Linked DNA regions of Yarrowia lipolytica. The protein of the gene in region 1 interacts with the protein of each later gene in a pairwise test. Links are inferred from orthologs where the notes say so. Each region holds a gene or a part of one and is shown in the gene's direction. Other genes may lie near its edges. The genes, in order: YALI1_F20820g, YALI1_B11607g, YALI1_A18286g and YALI1_B09708g.

Region 1 (5,309 bases):
CAAAGTGGATGGCTAATTGGTAGGACTGTGACATCTGGACTGCCCTCCCATGCTGTCGCTTACAAGCGCGCTCTTCACTACTCTTTTCGATGATGAGATGAAGCCAGGCGCTCTGAGCGTCCTGCTCGCAAGGGAAAACCAGGGAATTGCCTTCAATCAGCACTTTTCTGTCGGGATGTCGGGTCAGAGCTTCTTGCTGGGTATTTTGCTGGGTATGTTTGAGGCCATATCGTCTTCCAGGGAGGGATAAGAAATAGACAGTTGGGATTACCGTCTTTTCCTCCAATGGCGCGACTGAGACATCGACATCAGAGGTCGTCTGAGATTCCGATGACATGGGCAAGTCAGGAACATTGGTGTCGCCGACAAGAGCACGGCACCTCGACGTCAGTGTACTTTCGACAGGATCTCAGCAACATCTATTGGATCTCGCAGCAGCTGGGACTGAGGTTGAAGGTCAACAGATCTTTCATCCTCTGGATCAGCATTGAGCTCTACCACGCTGTTATCAACGCGTTTTCGTTTAGTAGTAGTTATATGCGGTGCCTTGCGCTGCGCTCACAACTGGTCGCTGTCGTCTCTTGGACTCAGTTTACGCTCTGTGTCTTTGGTTCTACGGGGAGAAGTAGACGATCGAAACCTCCTACCCTCACGGTATAGCGTCTACCATAACGAAGGGGCTCACCATCATCATACACGACTGGAACCTCAATGGCAGCCCAGAACATGCCCCGGCTGTATCCTTCGTTTGCTTGCAGGTTCTGTTGCACAGGATTGACACCTAGAGGGGGAACCTGACCCTTCCGTCTTTGGATGTTTGCGGTCGGTTTGACGAACTGGTGCCCGAAGTAGTTGGCAATCACATCGGCAGGCATATCGTGACATGATTTGAACAGGCAATTGAACTTGGGCAATGTAACCAATGGTGTCAGGCTGGAAAACTCGTGCTGAGGCTGCGTGAGTTCGGAGTCAAGAACAATGTCATTAGATCTTTCACATTCAAGCCAGGGTTCGACCAGCAAAAACCAGACTCAATGGTGAAACTGAACATTGTTTATCAGAATGGCAGCTCTGTTGGTGGAGGAAATCTTTTGTGAAGTCCATCATGAGAAACCCCATTGCGGTGGTGCGAGCTCCATCCAATCACTACTCTGCTGATAGTATCGGAACTTCATGGTGCGATCCGGACCCATGAGGCTCGGGGTATCCAAATGATCAAATGCAAACAGTCGCATTCGCTCCAATGGCATCTTGGTGACCTCCCTGAGCCCTTAGCTCGTCAATCCCTGCATGATCGATCTCGCAGGATTTCAGCTTGCTCCGGTTGGCTGCTAGCTCTTTCTGAGATTTATCGAGATCAGAATAATTGTCTGCCGCTTCAATTCGCTCTGCAGAATCTCGACACTTTGAGGATCGAGAAGTTGGCTGAGGATACCAGGTGGGTTTTCTGATGGATGACAGTCTCTCATATTTGATTTCAGCAATGGCAAACTCCTGTTCAGCAAGTGAGGATTCTAGCACCCTCACAGTTTCTGCCCTGCCCCCTTGTTGCTCAATGGAACAAGAAGCTCGCTGCTGAACAAAGTACGCCGACCCCCAGAAGGCTCAACAACCTCACTCTGGATGGGACGCTCTGATCTACACTCACTGAGCCTGGCATACTTTAGTTTCTCCAGCTTACCATTTATCCTTGCAGCCGGGTACACTTGCTCTGCCTTGGATCTGGAATTTAGTCCTTTGTGTACCTGTAACTATCCTGCTTCATTGTCGAACCACTCGGGGCGGCCTTGTGGGGCTGATATCTAAGCTTGTCAAGCTCATTGAGCTCAGCCTGAAGCTCCAGAACCCTCTATGACTGCTCCCTGCACTCCTTCTTGACTTCTGCCTCACACGTTCAGCAGGACCCCGAGGAGCATTCTCGTTGTGGGGGAGTGATGGAACGATGAAGACCACCTAGGACAATGCCTATTGCCATAAATTGTCGGTGTGACCTTGTTGGATCCGTCTGAATACCTCACATCATTACCGTATATGTTGGTCCACCCTTTTTGCAGTCACAGGCTGCTTTTCGCCCAGATGACCATACCACCCAGTTGATTTGACTACCACCCAGTGACTACCACCCAGTTGACATTGTCGAAGTTCAGTATCACCAAGTATTATCAGCATTGTAGAATTGGAATATCACAAGGCATTCCAAACGTAGCCCAAGATTTCAACACAGCCTCCGTATCTTCGAGTGAGTCTTGAACTGGATGAGCCCGAACTGAGAGTCTTGTAGTACCCTGGTAAACCAAAAATCCAATGGCATCTCTCCTGTCATTTTATAGATGGACCTGTAACCGTGCTGAACTTCCAAGATTCGGTCCATACACACACAACCAATCCGTTTTGCGAAGGGTTTATCAAGTTGGGCATTGCTGACCACTTCAGAAAAACTCTTGGTCCTGATCATGTAATCGAGGTATGGAAAACTGCAGCCCTTGATATCGTCAAGCGTTTTGCTCATTCTCATAAGGGCTTGGGCGTGATAACCTGTTTTATTGAGGTGTCTTAAAACTTCCTTGTCGCCTGCGGCATTGCGAGCACCAGGAATGTTGATTTAGCAGGCAGCTTCGGGGAACCATTCGTCCATTTCGTGAACCGAGTACGGACGTTTCCGAGAGCGTCTCCTGTCGCTGGGAATGTGTCGTCTGCCAGTAAGATTCTTATATTCTCTCACCCTCTTTCCAGCCCCTCGCGGTTCCGAATCAGTGGTATAGGAAGCCTCGTCGCATGATTCCCCTGTCGCGGATATCGTCTCCGTCGTAGATATGACATTGTGGGAGATGATCTCCTTCAGGGAATCTCAGCGTGAGAAACGTAATTCTCGGTTCAGCGGTGCCTGATCCACCCCATGCATAAAATGTGCACGTCGACGTACAGCTTAATAACGACGACGTAAACCGCGGTTCTCCACGGGCCAGACTCGATTGTAAGCCTCTAAAGGTGGGGATGGGCGGAAATCCGCTTCAAGGAGACTCAGGATACCCCTACTGGCAGCTATGTGATTAGTCAGCTTTTTCTATCCCGTTATTTGACGTTTTTGGATGCCGTCCGAATGCTCTGTTTTGACGCCACCCAATATACTTTGCAACACGAAAACGCACGCGCCACCACTTTCAGTAAATTAGACTTCCTTTCTAGTCAAGACACAACACGTCTTTTTTTTTTTTTGGGGATCTTGCCGCGACATTCGCAAAACACACCCTCAAATGGCCGACGAAGAAATCGAACGAGCGGGCGCCATCCCCATCGAGCGCCTGGCCGTCAACGGAATCACCCAGACGGATATCAACCGCCTGGGCGAGTTTGGACTCTACACAGTGGAGAGTGTGGCGTACACGCCCAAAAAACACCTGCTGACCATCAAGGGCATCAGTGAGGCCAAGGCCGACAAGCTGCTATCAGAGGCGTCCAAACTGGTGCCCTTGGGATTCACCACCGCCTCAGACGTGCACCAGACCCGTTCTGGACTCATCACACTAACCACAGGCTCGTCGCAACTGGATACTCTACTGGGAGGCGGTATCGAGACCGGAGCCATCACAGAGATGTTTGGTGAGTTCCGAACGGGAAAATCGCAGCTGTGCCACACTCTGGCCGTCACCTGTCAGCTTCCCATCGATCAGGGAGGAGGCGAGGGGAAGTGTCTGTACATTGACACAGAGGGCACTTTCCGTCCCGAACGTCTGCACCAGATTGCCCGGCGATACGGACTCAACGGAGACGAGGTGCTGGACAACGTGGCATACGCCCGAGCCCACAACTCGGACCATCAGATGCAGCTGCTGCAAATGGCGGCCAACATGATGACCAAGTCGCGGTTCTCGTGTCTCATTGTCGACTCCATCATGGCGCTCTACCGAACAGATTACGCAGGACGAGGAGAGCTGTCTGCCCGTCAGACCCACGTGGCCAAGTTCATGCGAACCCTGCAACGCCTTGCCGATGAGTTTGGCATCGCAGTGGTGATCACCAACCAGGTGGTTGCCCAGGTGGATGGAGCTGTGTTCAACCCGGACCCCAAGAAGCCCATTGGAGGAAACATTGTGGCTCATGCGTCCACCACCCGGCTCTACTTCAAGAAGGGCCGAGGAGTGCAGCGAATCTGCAAGATCTACGACTCGCCCTGTCTGCCAGAAAGCGAGTGTGTCTTTGCTATTCATGAGGATGGAATCGGAGACCCCAAGGATGAGGAGTAGGCGAGGGAAAGCAATGGTTGCAGTAAATAGTGAGACCCATTTTATTTAATCATTTCGAGACTGTAGCGAGCATCTCGACCACATCATGGTCCCATTTTGATTACCTGAGTCGACGGGAATGGTCTCTGCGAACATCGTGCTTACAACCAACTCGGTAAGAGTTCATGGAAAGGAAGAAGGGATCTTTGATCTCCAATTATTTGATATTATGGAAAATATTATCTCAACACTGCAAAATTCGTCGCAATAAGGACTACTACATCACACAGCCTAAACTAAACGAGAGTCGACCGCTGAGTCAGCAGATCATAACGCCAGGGTGAAGACAGCCCAGGAACCAGTAGAGAAACAATATATCACGAGAGAAGCAAAAAAGAATGGACGACACCGGAATCGAACCGGGGACCTCGCGCATGCTAAGCGCATGTGATAACCAACTACACCAGACGCCCTCGATGTGTCCCGGGTAGGACACCGGTATTTGATCTCGAATTTGGAGCATCACACCGAAAAAAACGCCGTATTTCGATATGGAACTGGAAGAACAGGTGGACAAGCGAACACGAGGGTCATGTGCTCTTCAGAACAGTTGAATCTGAAACCGATGTGCTGGTATACCATTGTTTATAGGCCTCGAGAAGTTGTAGAGTATTCCCTAGAACAAAAAAAAAATAAAAAAAAAACAAGTAAAAAAAAAAATACAAGTTAAAAAAAACAAGTAAAAAAAAAATTACAAGTTAAAAAAAACACTGTAATGTTATATATGAAAAAACCGCTCCAGTTTTGATCATAGGGGAATTGTACATTGTAGATAGCAATGGATTTAATATCAAGTGCAATTTGAATTTTTTAAGATACCGAGATTGTGAAGGTCTAGACCAAATCACAGCGACGTTTGGTACTGTCTTGAAGAACGGCTATCCCCAGTGATTAATGGTGAATTACTCGGAATTTGACAATATATGGTTACTAAGTACAACTGAAAACTATTTTTGAACTACAATCTACCATATCCGTATGGTCATATGGTCATTAATAGCCCAGTAGAAGATGCAACAGTACACT
Region 2 (5,604 bases), on another chromosome or scaffold:
ATAGCCGGAGGCATGTGTGATTCTGGGCTGATCGCGGGAAGAATCCAGCTTCTATCTGCTCATATCCATCGTCATACTGTACTTGTGTTACAGCTGTCAGTGTCAGGGTTGTTCAGTAGCGGGAGCCCTTCTGTCAGTGTCATTCGAATAGTCTCCGCCAAATAGGCAGGGTCTGTTGTGCTACAGAACTTGTAGGTGTTACTTTGTCCGCGAGAGACATTCAAGGGTGGTTAGCGCGACGTGGACAGGCGCGCTAAGCTGCGATAGTGTGTTGGGTGCTTTGCCGGACCATCACCGCGCCTCCCAGCTGCTGGTTGATCGCCAATATGGCTTGTAACTTCTTCAAAGGTGGAGTGCATGCAGGACTGAAATTAATTGGAAAATACGGCGGAAAATACTCCAGAAAAATACGCTGGCGGGCCAGAAAAACGATCCCTTGCTTGAACGGGCAATAATATCGACAATACGCGTCGAAAATCGACTGATTACTCTTCCCCTTCTGTCTCATGACCTGTTTTCCGGATTTTATGGCTCCACTGTGACGTCACCGCTTGCACTGGCACGTCGGTACATACAATGACCCCCCAGATTGCACCAAGCAAACGACTTTATTCTACACCATAGACCCTGGAACCCCCGCCAACGCCCCGTGACGGCTGGGTCATGTGGCATGTGCTAGTTCCATCTCTGTCACCTTGGGCTGGCCCGCTTCGCGGGGATGCATGGATCAGCGGTCGCATCTACATGGGCCGTGGTCGCAAAAAGAAACGACTTGAGCCAGGTGGAGGATGAAAAGAGGGTACGACGAGAGTTTGAATGAGGGTTAGTGGACCATGGCTGTCTCTTGGCTGTTTTTTGTGGCAGGCATCATGGGCTGGCTGATTATATAAGATCGTCGTGCTGTCTGATAACACCGCCGGGCAGTTGTCTAATTACAGTAATTAGGTGCATGGCACACGATCCACAGTTGATGATTAGGAGCTACTACATTGTAGTGGCCACGATCATAGCCCACCATCTATAGATGGCACTATTACTCCTTTTGGAAGGTGGATGATGGGTAGACGTTGAGCTGTCGATAAATGACTCGTCGCAAAAGATCAGCTTGTAATAGCAGGTTGTAGGACAATTGCCACGCAACGGCAACAACCCAATACGCCTTATCTAGCACGCCTGAAGCCTGCATTCAAGCCGTTCAGTGCTTTAGCTAGAGTACGATACTGAAGGTTGCACTGGGCCTCCCAAGTTGGGGCTGCAAACCGTAGTTACAGTACATACAATAGATGTAATGGATTCCACCTCTATTATAGTGATAGGATTGAGACAGGGCATGTCGTCAAGAACACAATGTGACATTAACAAGGCGCCGGTCACACCCAAACGGCCAACGGCCTACTATCACATGTTTGTTGAGCACTGTTGAGCGTCTCCCCGCTCCTCCCCCGCTCTACGCAAGTAGCGTGCAAGTGCAAGCGCAAGCACAAGTATATGCATCTCGCGGACGTGTGATAAAGTGACTGAATGACCGAAGCTTTGTGTGTCATGTGTCTGTCGAGTCTGTGACAGGCAGGTAGGGCTGAAGGAGATGACGTGCCTAAGGGCTGTGATTCGCCCGAGCGAGCAGCTGCATTCTGGGTCTCGTATCCGCTGGGAGAAACGCTCGCATTCCGACGCCGCCGATGAGCTCTACAGACTCACATTCTCAAGCTCAAACGCTCGGGGGAACACTCAAAAGTGAGACCTTGATCCAGTGACTGAGACTGTATGTAGGTGAGAAGAGAGACTGCGGGACTGATGGGCGTGTGTACGGTGCCAGTTAGGTTGGGCACTTTAAAGTAGGTTTGCCAAATTAGGCTCTCTCAATTTTTCGGTTTCCCGCTTTTTCTTTTCCCTCTGGCCCGTAACCCCCTTTAATTACATGTGCATTTTAGGGGGCTTGTCGCTGCACTCTCCCAGATAATATTATTACGGAATGCGAAAATCGCATGATGTTGGATAAGTGAGCATCGGGAAGCAGCAAATCTCCAGTTGGCGGACGACCTGTACGAGCCGTCGTGTACCAGCTCAGGTACAGTTCTTTGCGGTGGCGTTGTTTGGGCATATATACATATATACAGTGTGCTTTCAGGTACCTGGGTGAGGCACACGAGAGGGGCTAATGGCTTATAGTGTGGCAAAATGTCAGATTCAAGACCGACTATCAACGTGGATGTGCATGGCTCAAAACCCTCGTTACGGCACATTTCCCCCGGGGTAAAGAGACCGCCAAAACACGATGCAGCCACAAGGCGAATCTCGCTGCGCGGGATACGTGCTCCAGGCCGTCCCGGTGCATTGTTTTGGTCCTTGTGGTGCTGGGTGTTTGCCTATTTTTGCCCATATTCGTCTCTTTTTGCGTATTTTGGTATTTTGTACATTCACCGGTGAAATATTTTTTATTTTTTTCTTACTCGAGCCTCAGGGAGCCGATATTATTTGGCCATGACGATCTGCAGAGTGCTGCCGTCAGTGTTAAATTGACGGTGGGAGATTGGCAAAAAAGGAAAAAGACAAGCGGGCGAACAAAAGGCCCTGAAATTGCCAAAAAAAAAAAAAAAATTGAGCCAAAAAAAAAAAAAGGGGGAGAAGGCCCGTCGATACGCACAAGGAAATGACAATATCAACGGGGGGAGGGCTCTTGTACATAGACGAGAGACCGACAAAAAACGGCAGGAAACAGGCGGAATCAATTCGGGGACACTCGAACCCCCTTGGTGATCTCCCGTGGTCCCGTTTCCCCGGGCCCCTAGCCCTTCCACACCCGGCCTAAAGGTCTAGCGTGCTGCTCAAGACCGGTTTCACATCCCAACGGTCGTCTCTCCATGTACCATGCACTCTGGTCCACTGTACACGGGGAATCTGAGTTAGACTTCTCGCTTTTTTGAAAGGCCCTTGTCATACCCCCTAGACTTAGCGCCGATTAGCGTTTTCGGGTGCAAGACCCATGGGGGGCGACTACCACCTTCTTTTTGGTCATATATATGGAGACGACCGGTCGGAAGAGTGCGTGCAACAGATACCTCGACCCGAATCGACACAGACCCTCTCTCAGCATGCACAAACTCAACGCCCGACTCGGAAACCTCCGGCTGGAAGAGGTGATCGGAACTGGAGCCTATGGCACCGTCTACAGAGCCACTGACATTTACTCGAGCAAACGATACGCAGTCAAGGTGGTTGGCAAGCGCTCGCAACTGAACGACTGCCGCGGCCAGGTCATCAACGCCCACAAGCTGTCTCTCCAACAGGTTTCTCTGGCGGCCCTCAACCACAACGCATCCCACATCTACCGAGAAATCGCCCTCCATAACCATGTCCAGGTCCACCCCTACATTCTGTCGCTGTACGCCGTCTACGAGGCCAGCGACTGTCTCTACATTGTTCTGGAGCACTGCGAGGACGACCTCTTCACCGCTATTGTCGACCGGGGCATGTTCCAGACCTACGCCCCCAGTGCCAAGATCATCCTGCTCCAACTGCTCGAGGCCGTCCTCTACACCCACAACAAGGGCGTCTTCCACTGCGATCTTAAGCCAGAAAATATTCTCGTGGCCGAGGGAGGCACTTGCATTCGGCTGGCAGACTTTGGCCTGGCCTCACGATCCGGACAACAGGTGTCCCAGTGCGGTTCGTCCTTCTACATGTCTCCCGAGCGACAGACCAAGCGCCACAGCTCCTTGTCCGTGCAGCAGATCAATGCCGGAAACGCTGCCGCCGATATCTGGAGCCTGGGAGTTATTGCCATCAATCTCTTTTGTGGCAGAAACCCCTGGAAACGGGCCCACGTCTCGGACGAGGCCTACCGCCAGTACCTCAAGGACCCGTCGTTCCTGCAGCAGATCCTGCCTGTTAGCGATGAGTTTGCCGGCATTCTCAACCGCATCTTCACCGCCGATGTCAAGTCGAGAATCAGCCTCACCCAGCTCCGAGAACAGATCAAGAACTGCGACATGTTTGTACTTGGACAGGACACTGAGGAGAGGCCTGCAACCTCTGCCATTCCTACATACACCAAGGCGCCTATTCCTCCCACGTCTCCCGTGTCTCTGCTCCCTGCTCCTTCTCTCAAATCAAACCTGTCACCTCTCAGTCACACCTCCAGTGTATCGCCTCTCAGCCACACGTCGTCCATCTTCTCGACGCCCTACACTCCCGACGTATCCCCAACGGCCGTGTCGGATCGAGGCGTCAAGCGTCGACGCAGCGAGGAGAACGAGCCGTTCCACTTTTCGCTCAACCATACCAGCGACGTGGACCGGTTCGACTTTGGCATGAGCGACCCCCGAGCCCGACTGTTCGCCTAAACCAACGGACCAACTAATTGCATATCCCCCCACCCAAAATGCTCTACTAACAAATCAGCTAATGTACATATTTATAGATAATGATAATGACTAACCGTATGAACGAGGCAGTAGCGGACGATATCTGTACTTGAACGATAGTAGGAGTCCATCTCGGCTCATGGCTTGCTACTCTTTACGAGCCGTTAGCTCCATCGATCGGTGGAATAGTGGGCCTCGTCCAACAAGAGACTTCCACACCTTGTCGTATCGTATTAAGGAGACCGATATATGCCGATCTTATCGAACAAGAACCGGTACGTACATACTGTACAGCAGTACAAGCACTCTAGAGTCTCGGATCCTGGTCAAAATAAAGAGACACACGGTGAGAAATTAATTCCCGAATATCCCGGAATACGCAATACGACCACAATCGACGACTCTGGCAATATTAAATCGTCTTTAGGACTCATTCCGAACGCCGTATCGCATGTCCCAAGATGGGATATACTCGGAACCGTACGGGAGACTCTACTCGTGGTTGGCCAAAGTCATTTCTCGTCTACCTTTGGCTAGTGGGAAAAATTTGCAACTCCGGGGAGACGAGGGTGTGCGATGGAGTGGAGGGGTATCAAACGGCTCTCTTATTGGTGTCTTGGGTCGTCTCTGTCTTGTTCGGTACGTGATGCGCTATGATCATACCGGTAGGGCCGGTAGGGTACGCACAGTACTCGTACTGTTACCGAAGACCGTTATTCATGCATTGTGCAAGTATCAATCTCGAGTACAAGCACGTTTTTCCCAACAATGCTACGCTCTTCCCTCCTATCCACCTACTTGTACCTCCTCCCTGTCCATCGTCCATCTCCCTCCTCATGTCATGCCTCCATCTCCCGCACGCCGAGACGTGAGTCGCGCCGACTCTGAAACATGTCCCGTAGCTCGTCGTATGGATGCCCATCCATATGTTCCACATGGCCCTGTTACAAGTCATGGTGGCACGCTGTACGGATCCCATGATGTCACAGCTTCACATGTCCACGCTGTAAGCTCGCCAATCCCCCGCTTCTCTTCGGGGTGTGAAAAAAGTGGCCTGTTGCCGGGGAAATAATCTAAACGAGAAGGATGCAACCACAGTGAGACAAGTGAGACAAATGAGTGTCAGTGGCCGGTCCCGAGAGTTAGACTTGAGACATGAACGGTGCAAACGTAGTCAGCGTCCCCGAGGTGGCATCTGACAGGGGTAGCCCGGTCTCTGTGCTCCAAACAAACACAATCA
Region 3 (6,033 bases), on another chromosome or scaffold:
ACCTTGAAGTAGGCATCCACAATATCAATCTTGGGCACAGCGTTGGCGGTGTTCTTGACCGATGTAATATCAGATTTGTCGACGCCCAGAATCTCCTTGAATTGGGCATCCTTGAAGCCCAGGATGGAGCCGGTACCGTAGCCCTTGGCATTCTTGGTCACCTGCTCGTAGTCCACGTGAGGGAGCTGCAGCATCTCTCCAAGAGGAAGATGGTCGAGAGAAACGGCCTGAACCATGGCTCGCTGAACCTCAATAATTCGCTGAACCACCTCCAGAGGCTTGAACTCGATGGCAATGTCGGCAAAGCCATCCAGCAGCTTGGGGGCCAAAGCAGCCACGCCCAGCATAGCGGCGGGCTTGGAAGAAGCCTTTCTGTGGAGGTAGTCGTCTAGAAGCTCGTAGACCTGCTTGCTGGTGAGCTCGGGGAAGTTGATTCGGTACTCCTCGGCCTCGGACACGGCCTCCAGGATTCGCTTGTGAGTGATGTAGTCTGGCTGCTCCTTGGCCATGATGGAGAAGAACCGGGCTGCGGTCTTGTTGTGGATTCCACGACGAGTGTAGGACTTGACTCCGGTCCACCACTTGCCAATGGTGTAGGGGAGGATGACTCCCACGACAATGGCGTAGACACCAATGAGCAAGGGAGAGCCCTGGCCCTCCACGAGCCACTTGGGCAGAGCAATACCGTGGTCGGTCTGCTGGGGGCCGTCAGGATGGCCAAACTCCAGAAAGTTGTTTCGGGTGACTTCGTCTGTCAGCGCCTTGTAGGCCTTTGTGATCTGGACCCACGCGTCCTCCACCTGCTCCATGGTCTGGTTAGCCACCAGCTTGATCTTGTCGGGATGCAGCTTGACCGACAGCTTTTTGTAGTGGCTCTTGATTTGCTTCTCTGTGGCCGAGAAGGACACGCCCAGAATCTCGTACGGATCAAACGTGTCGGCCTTGACCTTGACCTCCTGTTGTGAAATGAACACCAGCGCTCCAATCAGAGCCGCCCACCCCGCAACCAGAGCCACGTTGCGCTTGGACAGCAGCTTTCCGCGCCGTTGCTTGCTCTGGAACGAGTCAATGTCCGCCGCATGGGGGGGACGGAATGGTGTCACGCCCTCGGGAAGAGTCGCCTGGGTCTTGGGGGGACACAGAACCGGATAGACGGCACTGAGAGTCCAGGGGACTAGCACCAGTGAGCCCAACGTGACCGCAAAGTATGGCCACACGTCCGACTCTTCGTCATAAGAGTACGAAGGCATTTTTGAGTCTGTGTTGTGGAAAGAACCAAAGATGTGTGATGTACAGTCTGTAGATGACAACTGTGGTTGGGAGTGTGACGTGTAGTTAAAGTAAGGTTTGGCAAAGTAGATACAGTAGGTGGAGGAGGAGTAGAAATGGCGAACAGACTGGAGTAATTTTATGGGAATAGGCGGTGTTGTTGTTTTTTTGGTCATGTGTATTGTCACGTGACTTGATTTCACGTGACTGTTTGTTTCTGAGGCTCCCTCCTTCCCCCTTATACTGTGGTCAATCGCACACTACTTTTCAAGGGTAAGGGTTGCATTGTAGATCAAGAACAGGGTGGAATAAAAATATAAAATATAAAAAAGTGTGAATTTATATAGTTCAGTTTATTATTCATTGTAGCTCAGATGGACATGGAGCTGGGGACAGAAGGCGAAAACACGAGTTCCTGAGAATCAATTGTGACATGACCGGGTCTGGGAAGTCGTGTGACCAAATGTATAACACATTACGGCCGCACTTGTAGACCAGGTGCCCCACATCTCCACGCCGTTCCGTCCTCCTCGTCCTCCTCTTCTTCATCCTGCTTGCAATGGCGGCGCGCGCGTATGTATGTATGTACTGTACTGTACTGTACTGTACTTGTAGATGGGCAAGTTTTTGCTGTCTGAAGAAAAGACGAGAGCAGGACGAATTTGCGAGTCATGCAGCGGGGATGGAATACGACGAAACAGTCCTAACCTGTGTTTTTGACGTAGGAATCACATCTCATAAGGTGTTTTTCCAGCGTGATTGATTGACTTTTCCGAGGAGGTTTGAATTTGGATTAGTACGAGTATGTGAGTGTGTATAGGGAGAGTGATGGAGACCTGGAGAGCGAACTTTTCCAGGGTTATATGGTATCTTATTGTTTGAAATGGCCAACTTATTCTCCTTATGAGTTTTTTATTGGAACCGGATCAACTTTGACGGAGTTTGTCCAGTCTTGATAGTGGGTGTATAGTACAGTGTGAACCCTACAACTGTATGTAGGTTTGTACTGTATTTACATTTACTATGGTTGACGTATGGCTATATAATGAAGTCTTCGAGTTATACCACCCATTTGGTATTCTCTTCAATTAATTCAGAGCAGGACATTTATCAGCTCGTCGCGTTATCAGCCATATTTCAACTTGCATTCTTTTCTTTTTTCACGCTTTTTTCTCGCTTTTTTCTCGCTTTTTTCTCGCTTTTTTCTCTCTCGACTTTTTTGTTTTTCTTTTTATTTATTTTTATTTATTTTTCTTTTTCTGGTTAACCCTGACAATATTTCAACTACGAGTTTAAATCTAGTGGAGACTGAAACTGAAACTGATCTTTTACTTGGGGAAATGTTTGTTTTTGGGCGTGAAAATTGATACCCTTGATATTCAAGCGTCAAATAGCTGAATTATTATCCCTCTTTTGACTCTAGACACGTCCCACTGCTTCTACAAGGACATTTGGCGCAGGTCTCGATTCTCATGCACAAGCAAAAACTACACTTTTTTAAATTGGCGTGCATTTTCATTTTCGTTTCACCAGTACCACCACAAACAATGAGTTATCGAGGACGCGGACGAGGCCGAGGCGGCTACAACAATAGCGGCGGCCGCGACAACAACAACAACAGCAACAACAGCAATCTGACGGACATTGAGGTCCGAGGGTGGACGAACGCGCCTAAGGACGATCTTGTACGGTTTCTCCAGGACAAGGGCGGGTTCCGGTTGCAGAACCCGTACGTGGATGGCGACGTGATCAAGGCCCGAGTCAAAAACACGGACGCCCGTGCGATTGGACAATGGTCCGGGCGCCGGTTTGCAGGCCAGGCTCTGCAAATCACAGTCAAAGATGGACCCTCGGCTGCTGCGCAGTCCACGATCGAAACGCTCAAACGGTTCCTTGAAAGCAGATACAGCGCCGAGGACAAGCTGCTGAACCTTGCAGGCATGGGCCAGGACCAGTATCTGATTGAGAATGGCCTTTTGGCCACCACTGAGCGAGGATCAAAGATGTTTCTGGCGCTGCTCAAGATTGCAGGCGACACCTACCCCGTGGTGGACTCGGTGGATCTGGGCCACAACAGCATCAGCGACATTGCCGGCATCACGACGCTGTCTCAGACGTATCCGGAGCTTAAGAATCTGTCGCTAGCCAACAACCAGATTGCCCGCATCACCGACCTCGAGTCGTGGAGACACAAGTTCAAGTCGCTGCGAGAATTGGTCCTTGTGGGCAACCCCATCACCAACCAACCCGACTACCAGCAGCAGGTGGCGCAGCTGTTCCCCAGGCTCATTGTTCTGGACAGCCATGTGATTCGAGACGAGTCGCAGATTGGAAAAGTCAAGTACCCCATCCCTCTACGGCAAACGTTTTTTGAAAATGACAACATCCAGCAAATGGTCGGCGGCTTTCTCGCCAACTACTTCCAGCTCTACGACACAGACCGACAGCAGCTGTTGCAGCTGTACGACCCACAATCGACTTTCTCGGTCGCCATCTGCTCAAACACACCCCGAACAATGGTCAAGGGTCTCGGTCAGCCTCCCTGGGGCCAATACATTCCGCTGTCACGAAACATGACCAAGGTGACCACAGCCTCGGCTCGAACCAACCGACTCTATGTGGGTCCTGAACAGATTGGAAGAGCCTTTACTCGCCTGCCTAAGACGAAACACGATCTCGGAGACCCCTCAAAGTTTGCCATTGACGCATGGACTCTCAATGGTGTGCGAGAGCCGCAAGACACAGCCATTTTTGCGTCTGTGCACGGCGAGTACGAGGAAAACATTATTGGCAACAAGAGCGACACCCGGTCGTTCGACAGAACGTTTGTGCTTCTCCCTGGCCCCAACGGAAGTATGATCATCGCCTCCGATACTCTCATGGTCAGATCCTACGCCGGAAAAGACGGATGGACCAGTGCAGCCATGACTGGAGCAACTGGTGGAGCTCCTGGGGACGACTTTGCCGGTCTCAACCCCGATCAGGCTCTCATTGTCAGACAGCTCATGGAAGCCACCCGTCTAAATGCAAGGTACGCGCGAATGTGTGCTGAGCAGGCCGGATTTGTTCCGGAACAGACCATGGCATTGTTCAAACAGGCCCAGGAGGGAGGCTCGTTGCCCCCAGATGCGTTTATGTCTTAACCGGGGCCCAACCGTACAGGAGACAGGAGGCATTCGTGTGTGCATTATGAGACAGCAAACAGAGTACCGTATGTATTACCGCATACACTACGCTCTCACAAGCATGTAGTTAATTTGAAATGAATGAGCATATCCTGCCAAACATGTAAAAGTAATTTATTGATCAATTGAAACAATCTTTGGTGTGAACATGTGTGAGTAGTTGTAGATAGGCAAGTGAAGCGATCCTAGACACATTTTTATGTGGTCACGTGACCTAATTTGGATTCTGGATCAAGGATTATCTCTACAAGTACTGTACTTGTAGTATGTTTCATTTGGCTCCGTTGTACTCGATTAGTTCAACTTTTTGTATAGAAAGTTGTAAATATATATACACCAAAATGATGCTTGTGCTGAGAGCCACACAATTGTGTATCTATATTTCCATTCTGAGCAATTTTCTTTCGTCTACTTGTAGATGATTTGTGACCCTGGTCTTACAGTGTTCAAGGGTCACAATCTACAATCCGTATATTAGAATAAATACACACTTTGGTGTGTTATAAATATTGTATGAGAGAGTTTCATGGGAGGAGCAGGTACTCATACTCGTACTGTGGATACTCTGGATAGGTGCTTACATCTCCTCGTATCATGTGCGTACAGAAGGGGTTCCAATGCCTGGCAAGTTCTGCTCAGCTTCTGCTAGCCAGCTTCTGTTCAACCAGCCAGCTTCCGCTCACTTTTTTTGTTCGCTAACACCCTTCCCTAACCAACTTTCTCAACAGATTCACCTCCAACTCAATCTCTCTTCTAATCTCCGCATTCTCCACCTGCATGGCATCCACCTGCTGATTCCTCTCGAAATATCCTGGTTGCAAATCTCGATGCAAATTGATATTTCGAACCGTCTTTTCCCATGCCAGTTGCCGCACCACATCCAGACAAGATCCCAGGCCTTTTCTGTACTCCGACACAAGCTGTAATGTCTCTGAGTTGGTTTTTGTCTGCTGAGCCACCTGGGTCCTCAAAAACGCGTTTTTCGACAGCTGTGAGTCGAGCAAGGCGTCCGAGTCGCCGGTCGACGGCAAATACTCGTCGCTGTCGCTGTCATTGGTCGCTTCAACCTCCTCCATGACATCTGAAAGCGTGTACTTGTCGGCCTGTCGAATCAACTTCTCCACCACCTCTTCGTTGTCCTTGAGCGCAATCTGAAGCTGACTAAGCATGGTGTGCAGCTGCATCAGGTCCTCAGTTTGCGGCAGGTAAAGCTGCGTCATTTGTTGTTCTTGTATGCCGTTCATGTTTGTTGTGTGTGAATGTGTGGAGGTGACAGAAGTGGCATGTTGGAGATGCGACTGGTGAAGGTAATTTTGAGTTACTATTGTATTAGTGAGCTGAATTTAATGGGTTCGTAGAAACTGCTGTAGGGGTGATAAAACGATCAAAACTGGCAATGAATCTCCTTGTGTCGTTTTATATCCGTCTGCAACATTTGGGCTGATTCTGGGTCCAGAAACACGAATTTCTAGACACCTTTGCGCTCCTATATATAGAACATCACCTCCCGCAAATAGAGTTGGTCTCCAATATGGCTATATTGCAATGTGGATTGCACGAAAGTATTGTACAGCATCTC
Region 4 (6,642 bases), on another chromosome or scaffold:
GCTGGCGTCGCACTGCTCGGCCACGCTCAACGTGGCGCTGTTGACGGTGGTAACGGAGGTGGTGTGCAAGGTGTTTTCGATTCCTGACATTTCCGAGCAGGTGGCGCGAGGACGCGAGACGTTGGAGGCGGGCCTCCGGGAGGCCGAGCTGGATTGCGTCACGGCATGTGCGGAGTTCAATCCCAAGGACAAGGATTACCGCACTTTCCGTCACGTGGCGGCAAAGAGCGTCAAATCGCTGCAACCCCACAAGTATTATTGATGGAATTGTATTTTTATGGTAGCTGAGCTGGACGTAGCGTGTGTGGATGTAGGTGATAGACTGGGGTTAGTATATGAACTCGAATGACGATATGTGTCGTGAGAGGAGTCGTGGTGGTTATCATGAGTGCATACTCACTGTGATGGAGGGGGAATTGAGGTTGTCGATGAAACGAAGTGTCATTTTATAGTCAATATGGTGGAGCTACGGAGAGGCTGATTGTTGACAGCCACAAATGGCGCGACAGATAGACAGAACCATTTCGGTGGCACAATGCAACACCACACCACCCACAGTCTTGCGGCTCGTGATGACTAATACAGCTTCGCATGGTACACGTCGACTCCGCCAGTGCGGTTCTCCCTTCCACATCGACACTTGAGTCAGAGTCCGTACAGAGCCCTCGTCGTGGTATCCTGCTTCCGTTTTGTGTAAAATGCAAAGTGTAGCCGGCACGGTCGTGATCCGGGTGTGCGGTGCGCCGCGTGTGTCCACCTGTTTGTGGTGTAGGTTTATCTGTGTGTTAGTGGTCGTGTATTGTGTTTTTTTCTTCTGTTTTCTTTGATTTTGGTGGTTTGTGTAAGAGAAGAAGAAGGTGGCACAAAATCAAGTCATTCTTCAAGTAGCTACAGTACTTGCAGTTAGATGTTGCTGCATGATACGTACATGCTTGTACATTTAACGTGCTCGCAGATGCAACACACATGCACGACTTTGGCATTTCGGATGTAGACAACGGGGTGCTTGTCAAGATGTGAGGAGGAACGCTGTCGAGGGAAACGCTGTCGAGGAAAACGCTGTCGAGGAAAACGCTGTCGAGGAAAACAATGTCTTGGGTTATGCTGAGCGTCCGTCAGATGTCTGCTCAAGACCTTTCCTCAGTCAACAGACCTCTCAGTGTGCAACCATCATCTACGACAGATCATTATGAGAAGATCATATCTTATATCAAACAGTTTGAACCAAGATAAATAGACCATGCTATAAAGGATTCGCTGAACAGTCAAAAGGGGATATTAATAAGTATATTCATCATTCCGTCACTTGTTTAAGTACGAGTACCGCATATCCGTAACAGTCTCAGATACAAGTGCGTCATTGAGTCGTTATATTTCACTATTTCAACTCCGTAAACCTGATTCTGCTTGTCTCAATTGGCCAAGAAACTTCGCCGTTTGCTTCTTCCTATCGTCCCATCTTCCTATACCCAGACTAGATGACTTTCCCTTGCCAGACCCCAAACAGAGACGTGATTGTCTACTGACTGCTTGGACATTTTCCAGTTGAAAAACAAGTAGGATACGGTTCCTACTTGTAGGATTCTATGTTTTGATGAAAGAAACATAGGATACGGGTCCTACTCGTAGAATTCTATGTTTTGATGTACTCAACCAGAATCACCCTTTTTATTCATTGGTTTCTGCCTATCTACAAGACAACTGAATACGGGAGATTAGTTGAGGAAATCCGCTAGAATGCGTTGTAGATATAAATGAATCCAAATAGAATGTTGACTCACTGTACTACAATGCTCAGGTTTGAATTATTCCATCTCTCCAAGGTGCTAGATTTACTTAGATATAGTTAAGGATAGTTTAGGGGTCATGTAATGTCGTTCTAATATCAACCTCATTTACTTAGAATTAGTTGGTGAGTGTGGCAAAGGTGGAATATCAATTAACATGGCAAACTGCACCACAAATCATGTTGTATACATCGGAGAGGAAATCTGAGAGGAATCGGAAAAGTTCAAAATACTTCTCATAACTGGATGACGTTTTACACACAAATCTGTGACAATTTTCTGTTCCAAATGAGGCTCAATTTCAGTTCAGTGCCCATACGTACATACAGACACAACTGTACGTTCTGATGGAATGAAAATGAGGACGATGGAGGCAAGATACCAAGAATTTTGTATGGAATAACCTGTTTTGAGCCCGTTGGAGAAGTCATTGACTCTTTTATATTTCTAATGTGACCGATATTGGTGTTTTTGGAGCGTTTTTGTAAGGTGTTTTGCTTGGGTTTAGGGGTCACGGTTTCGTGCCGTTTAAAAACTACTATTTGACGACTTACGTAAATCCTTGTACAACCAAGTTTTGTTGAATCACGTTCACAGTCCGTTTTCATCGCTAACATCACAGTAATCACGCAAAATCGCGTCCGTCGCGTCCGTCGCGTCCCCCGCGTCCCACGCGTCTGTTAATTTACCCAAACCTTGCGCGTCAAATATGTATCCTGATCCACACAACACTCTCTACTTCTCCACCGTTGCCACCCAACTACAAAATGAGACGAAACAAGGCTCCCAGTCAGATTCGCGAGCACGGATTGCCGGCAGAACGCCCCAGGGACCCCATGGATGTATTACATAAGCCGTTCAAGCGCCCGGCGCCGTCGTCTGGCTCCAGCTACAACTCCAACTGGCAGCCGTCCAGACGCGCCAGAACGGCCGTCAACTACACGGAAGGCGATCCGGATGCGCCAGTGTACCGATCTGACGACCCCGAGAAACGTGGCGGAGGTGCTGTCGTTCGCCGTGATCCATTGGCGGTCCTGAACCAAAACTTCCGAGTGCCGTTCAAAAACCGAAATGACGACTTTGTGGAATCTTTTCCGGCGCTGGGGATGCGCAAACCGGTGGATTTTGTGCCCCGACCGCTGCACGACCCCGCGGGAGAGTTTGCTATTGTTCTGTACGACCCTACCGTCGACGGAGTAAAAGATGCCGTCACCGAAGAGGATATCCAGACCGCCACCGAAATGACCCTGTCGCAGTCGGAGACAGATGTGGAGACGGTGGAGGAGATGAGAACAATACCCAAGAAACTCACGCTCGCAGAAATCCTCGGAATCTCCCCCAGAGATAAACAAAAGCCCAAAGAGTATCCGGAAGTGCCAGTTGTAATTGATCCCAAGCTCGCCAAAATCCTCAGACCACACCAGGTCGAAGGAGTCAAATTTCTGTACCGCGCCACCACCGGCCTCATCAACCCCAAGGCCCATGGGTGCATCATGGCTGACGAAATGGGTCTGGGCAAGACTCTTCAGTGCATTGCGCTGTTGTGGACGTTGCTGAAACAGAGTCCCCAGGGCAAGGGCACGATTTCCAAGGCCATTGTAGTTTGCCCCAGTTCTCTGGTGCGAAACTGGGCCGCCGAGTTTGTCAAGTGGCTCGGGGAGGGAGTCGTTGTTCCTTATGCCGTGGATGGGTCTCAGAAACCGGCTGAGTTGACGGCTGGTCTGAGACAGTGGGCCGAGGCTGAGGGCCGCAAAGTCACACGACCGGTGCTCATCATCTCATATGATACACTACGACGCCAGGTGGGTGCCATTGCCGACTCTGAGGTGGGTCTTTTACTTGCTGACGAGGGTCATAAACTGAAAAATGGCGATTCTCAGACATTTACCGCGCTCAATCAGCTCAATGTGAAGCGTCGAGTCATTCTCTCAGGTACTCCGATCCAGAACGATCTTTTGGAGTACTTTTCGCTGCTGAACTTTTCCAATCCTGGCCTGCTAGGCACCAAAGGCGAGTTTCGAAAGAACTACGAGATTCCCATTCTCAAGGGCAGAGATGCCGATGGTACGGATAAAGATGTGGAGAAGGCCGAGGCGAAACTGCTGGAAATGGCCTCTATTGTCTCTCCTCTTATCATCAGACGTACCAACGACATTCTGAGCAAGTATCTGCCAGTCAAATACGAACATGTTGTCTTCTGCAATCTCGCACCGTTCCAAAAGTCGCTCTATGTGCAATTTCGAACGTCCAAGGAGGCCAGATCTTTGTTGAAGGGTGAAAAGAGCAGTGAAGGAACCACCACTTTGAATGCCATTGGTATCCTCAAAAAGCTGTGCAATCATCCAGATCTGCTGAAGCTGCCGGACGAAATTGAGGGATGCAGAAAGGTGTTTCCAGACGATTATGCGCCGCCAGACGAACGAGGGTCGCGTGATCGCGACATTTATCCGCATTTCTCCGCCAAGTTTCTCATTCTCGAGCGGATGTTGCGGTCAATCAATGCTGAAACCAACGACAAGATTGTCATCATTTCAAATTACACGGCCACTCTCGATTTGATTGAAAAAATGTGTCGTCAGAGACGGTATGGGTGTCTTCGTCTTGATGGAACCATGAACATCAACAAACGAGCCAAGTTGGTGACTCAATTCAACGACCCCGAGGGCCAAGAGTTCATTTTCCTGCTCTCTTCCAAGGCCGGAGGTTGCGGTTTGAATCTAATTGGAGCTAACCGTCTGATTTTGATGGATCCAGATTGGAACCCTGCCGCAGATCAGCAGGCTCTCGCTCGAGTATGGAGAGATGGCCAGAAGAAGGACTGTTTCGTCTACCGTCTGATTGCTACTGGCACGATTGAGGAGAAGATTTTCCAGCGGCAGTCCATGAAGCAGTCCCTGTCGACCTGTGTGGTTGACGAGGTGCAGGACGTGGAGCGGCACTATTCCATGTCCAACTTGCGGGAGCTGTTTTCGTACGATGACGCCACCCCTTGCAACACCCACGATATGTATGAGTGTAAACGATGCCGTGGAGGGAAGCAGTACCAGAGGGCTCCTGCCATGCTGTATGGAGACGCCACCACGTGGAACCATTACTACAAGGGAACCATGGGGAAGATTGAGGATCTGTTGCTGCGGCAGGAGGAGGAGTTTGACGAGGTGAGTTTTGTGTTCCAATACATTTCTCACTAGCGTGCGCGAAGGAGATGGGCACGAGTTACTGGCGCGAGTGAGAGAAACGTGCGCGAGCGTGGGTTCGCGAATGTGAATTCGAGGTTGTTCGAAGCACGAGCATGTTACCGTGCACGTCCTGGGAGACATGGACAAGCTGTAGTAGTTGAGTCGTCAAGGCTCTCCTATGACAAGAAGAATATCACACCTCAACAATAGTACTGTTTTTGAAGGAGGGGGTGAGGATGGTGGGTCTGTTGGTACGTAAATACTCGTGAAGTATTGCAACCGGTACTGTAACCAGGGAGAACTGAAGCATATCATATATATTAGAATAGATACCGTTATGAATAATCATTGTGAAGTGTTTCAAGTCGCTGGGTACGAACAATCTCTCTACAAAGCTCTAGTGTGGTTCTCGTGAAGCGTGGTCTCTATATCACTATTTATCACCAGAGATGTTTCGGATTCTGATTCTGTATCCAACTCCATCAATATTGCTCAGACCATGTTGATCTCTTCTCAAATCGACTTAGTAAGCGTCATCAAGTTAGTAAATCAAGTTAGTAAAATCAATCGGTTGGTTTTGCAATGTCGATATCCTCCCCAACTGGTGATCCGATGTAGATACCCAGAGCACGGAACAAAACGCCACTAGTTCAGTCAATATATATCTGATCAAAGAGATTCTTTCATAAAAAGATATTTAACCTGCTTTAGTCATCATTTCTTGAGTGATAGCGGTTCTGTCGCCAGTAATGAGGACTAATATATACCATACGGTACATTTCAGTACTGTCGTATACCGATGTTCAAATGAGATTAGTTTGAACCTCTTCAAGTCAGCACATGACAGATTCGAAGATACTCAAGGAAATTGATCATAAGTACCCAGCTCCACGGATCATTCCTTCCAAGTTCCTCCCCAACTCTCCCGCAATCGTCCACAATTTCACACTCCCTGTTCGCCAGAAATGTATACAAAAGAAGGAATATCCAAGTTATTGGAAACATTGAAACGGTGTTGTGTTCCTTGCGACTCTTATAAAATGTCTGTCGTATATCTTTTCAACTTCTCTTCAGATTCAACAGAATATTTGCCGTTATCTTAGTAACATAAACGCATTGATACCAACCAGACGGAGAGAGAGACGACAGACGAAAACAAAAAAGAGAACTCGGGGTTCTGCCATCACCCAGAATCGAACTGAGGTTTCCACGGTCTTGTTGTGATGACACAATCTCCACAACGTGGTGTACTAACCACTATACTATGATGGCTGTAGACGTCAGAGGGTGAGATAGTATATAAGAGGGTGAAAGAGAGATTCTTCACCAGAAAAACTTACAAAAAAATATTCATATCTGATGAGATGTTCCGTTATTTATTCATTCCCCACTTTATGTATCCTCACAGCTCCCCTTTGCGTTCGGACATTGGCATTTACTATATGAACTCTGGCAGATAATAAACCAGAGCTAAATGGTTGAAAAACAGCCCGATTTTGAAATTTAATTATTAAAATAACACTCGCCAGTCATTTACATCTTTCTACAAACTCCTCCATTTCAACTGAACAAATAATCGTCATTCTAGACACATTTTCTATAGTTTTCCGTCAATGTTCATTAACGTGCACAACTTTTACAAATCACGTGATTTCAAAAGATATATTTCCACAATT

What was found.
Region 2: the proteins of YALI1_F20820g (region 1) and YALI1_B11607g interact in a two-hybrid assay, tested with the Schizosaccharomyces pombe proteins (2 studies listed by BioGRID). The link is inferred for Yarrowia lipolytica from reciprocal best matches to the Schizosaccharomyces pombe genes rad51 and pat1.
Region 3: the proteins of YALI1_F20820g (region 1) and YALI1_A18286g interact in a two-hybrid assay, tested with the Schizosaccharomyces pombe proteins (2 studies listed by BioGRID). The link is inferred for Yarrowia lipolytica from reciprocal best matches to the Schizosaccharomyces pombe genes rad51 and mex67.
Region 4: the proteins of YALI1_F20820g (region 1) and YALI1_B09708g interact in binary tests that used the Schizosaccharomyces pombe proteins (3 or more experiments, as listed by UniProt). The link is inferred for Yarrowia lipolytica from reciprocal best matches to the Schizosaccharomyces pombe genes rad51 and rad54.

The regions. Positions count from the first base shown.
Region 1 is NC_090775.1:2,080,008-2,085,316, reverse strand, and holds YALI1_F20820g (uncharacterized protein), read left to right. Parts: upstream 1-3,254; coding exon 3,255-4,244; downstream 4,245-5,309. Other genes in the region: YALI1_F20831g (uncharacterized protein), read right to left, coding at 1,895-2,005, 2,059-2,169. UniProt on the Schizosaccharomyces pombe protein: Required both for recombination and for the repair of DNA damage caused by X-rays. Binds to single and double-stranded DNA, in the presence of magnesium, and exhibits DNA-dependent ATPase activity.
Region 2 is NC_090771.1:1,157,730-1,163,333, forward strand, and holds YALI1_B11607g (uncharacterized protein), read left to right. Parts: upstream 1-3,020; coding exon 3,021-4,343; downstream 4,344-5,604. Other genes in the region: YALI1_B11577g (uncharacterized protein), read right to left, coding at 1-48, 92-143; YALI1_B11588g (uncharacterized protein), read right to left, coding at 985-1,164, 1,222-1,356; YALI1_B11593g (uncharacterized protein), read right to left, coding at 1,399-1,594, 1,659-1,666; YALI1_B11625g (uncharacterized protein), read left to right, coding at 4,816-5,436. UniProt on the Schizosaccharomyces pombe protein: This protein is a negative regulator of both sexual conjugation and meiosis. It phosphorylates mei2. It blocks the onset of meiosis until conjugation takes place.
Region 3 is NC_090770.1:1,825,851-1,831,883, forward strand, and holds YALI1_A18286g (uncharacterized protein), read left to right. Parts: upstream 1-2,741; coding exon 2,742-4,412; downstream 4,413-6,033. Other genes in the region: YALI1_A18273g (uncharacterized protein), read right to left, coding at 1-1,445; YALI1_A18315g (uncharacterized protein), read right to left, coding at 5,150-5,698. UniProt on the Schizosaccharomyces pombe protein: Involved in the export of mRNA from the nucleus to the cytoplasm.
Region 4 is NC_090771.1:966,811-973,452, reverse strand, and holds YALI1_B09708g (uncharacterized protein), read left to right. Parts: upstream 1-2,554; coding exon 2,555-4,978; downstream 4,979-6,642. Other genes in the region: YALI1_B09807g (uncharacterized protein), read left to right, coding at 1-262. UniProt on the Schizosaccharomyces pombe protein: Plays an essential role in homologous recombination (HR) which is a major pathway for repairing DNA double-strand breaks (DSBs), single-stranded DNA (ssDNA) gaps, and stalled or collapsed replication forks.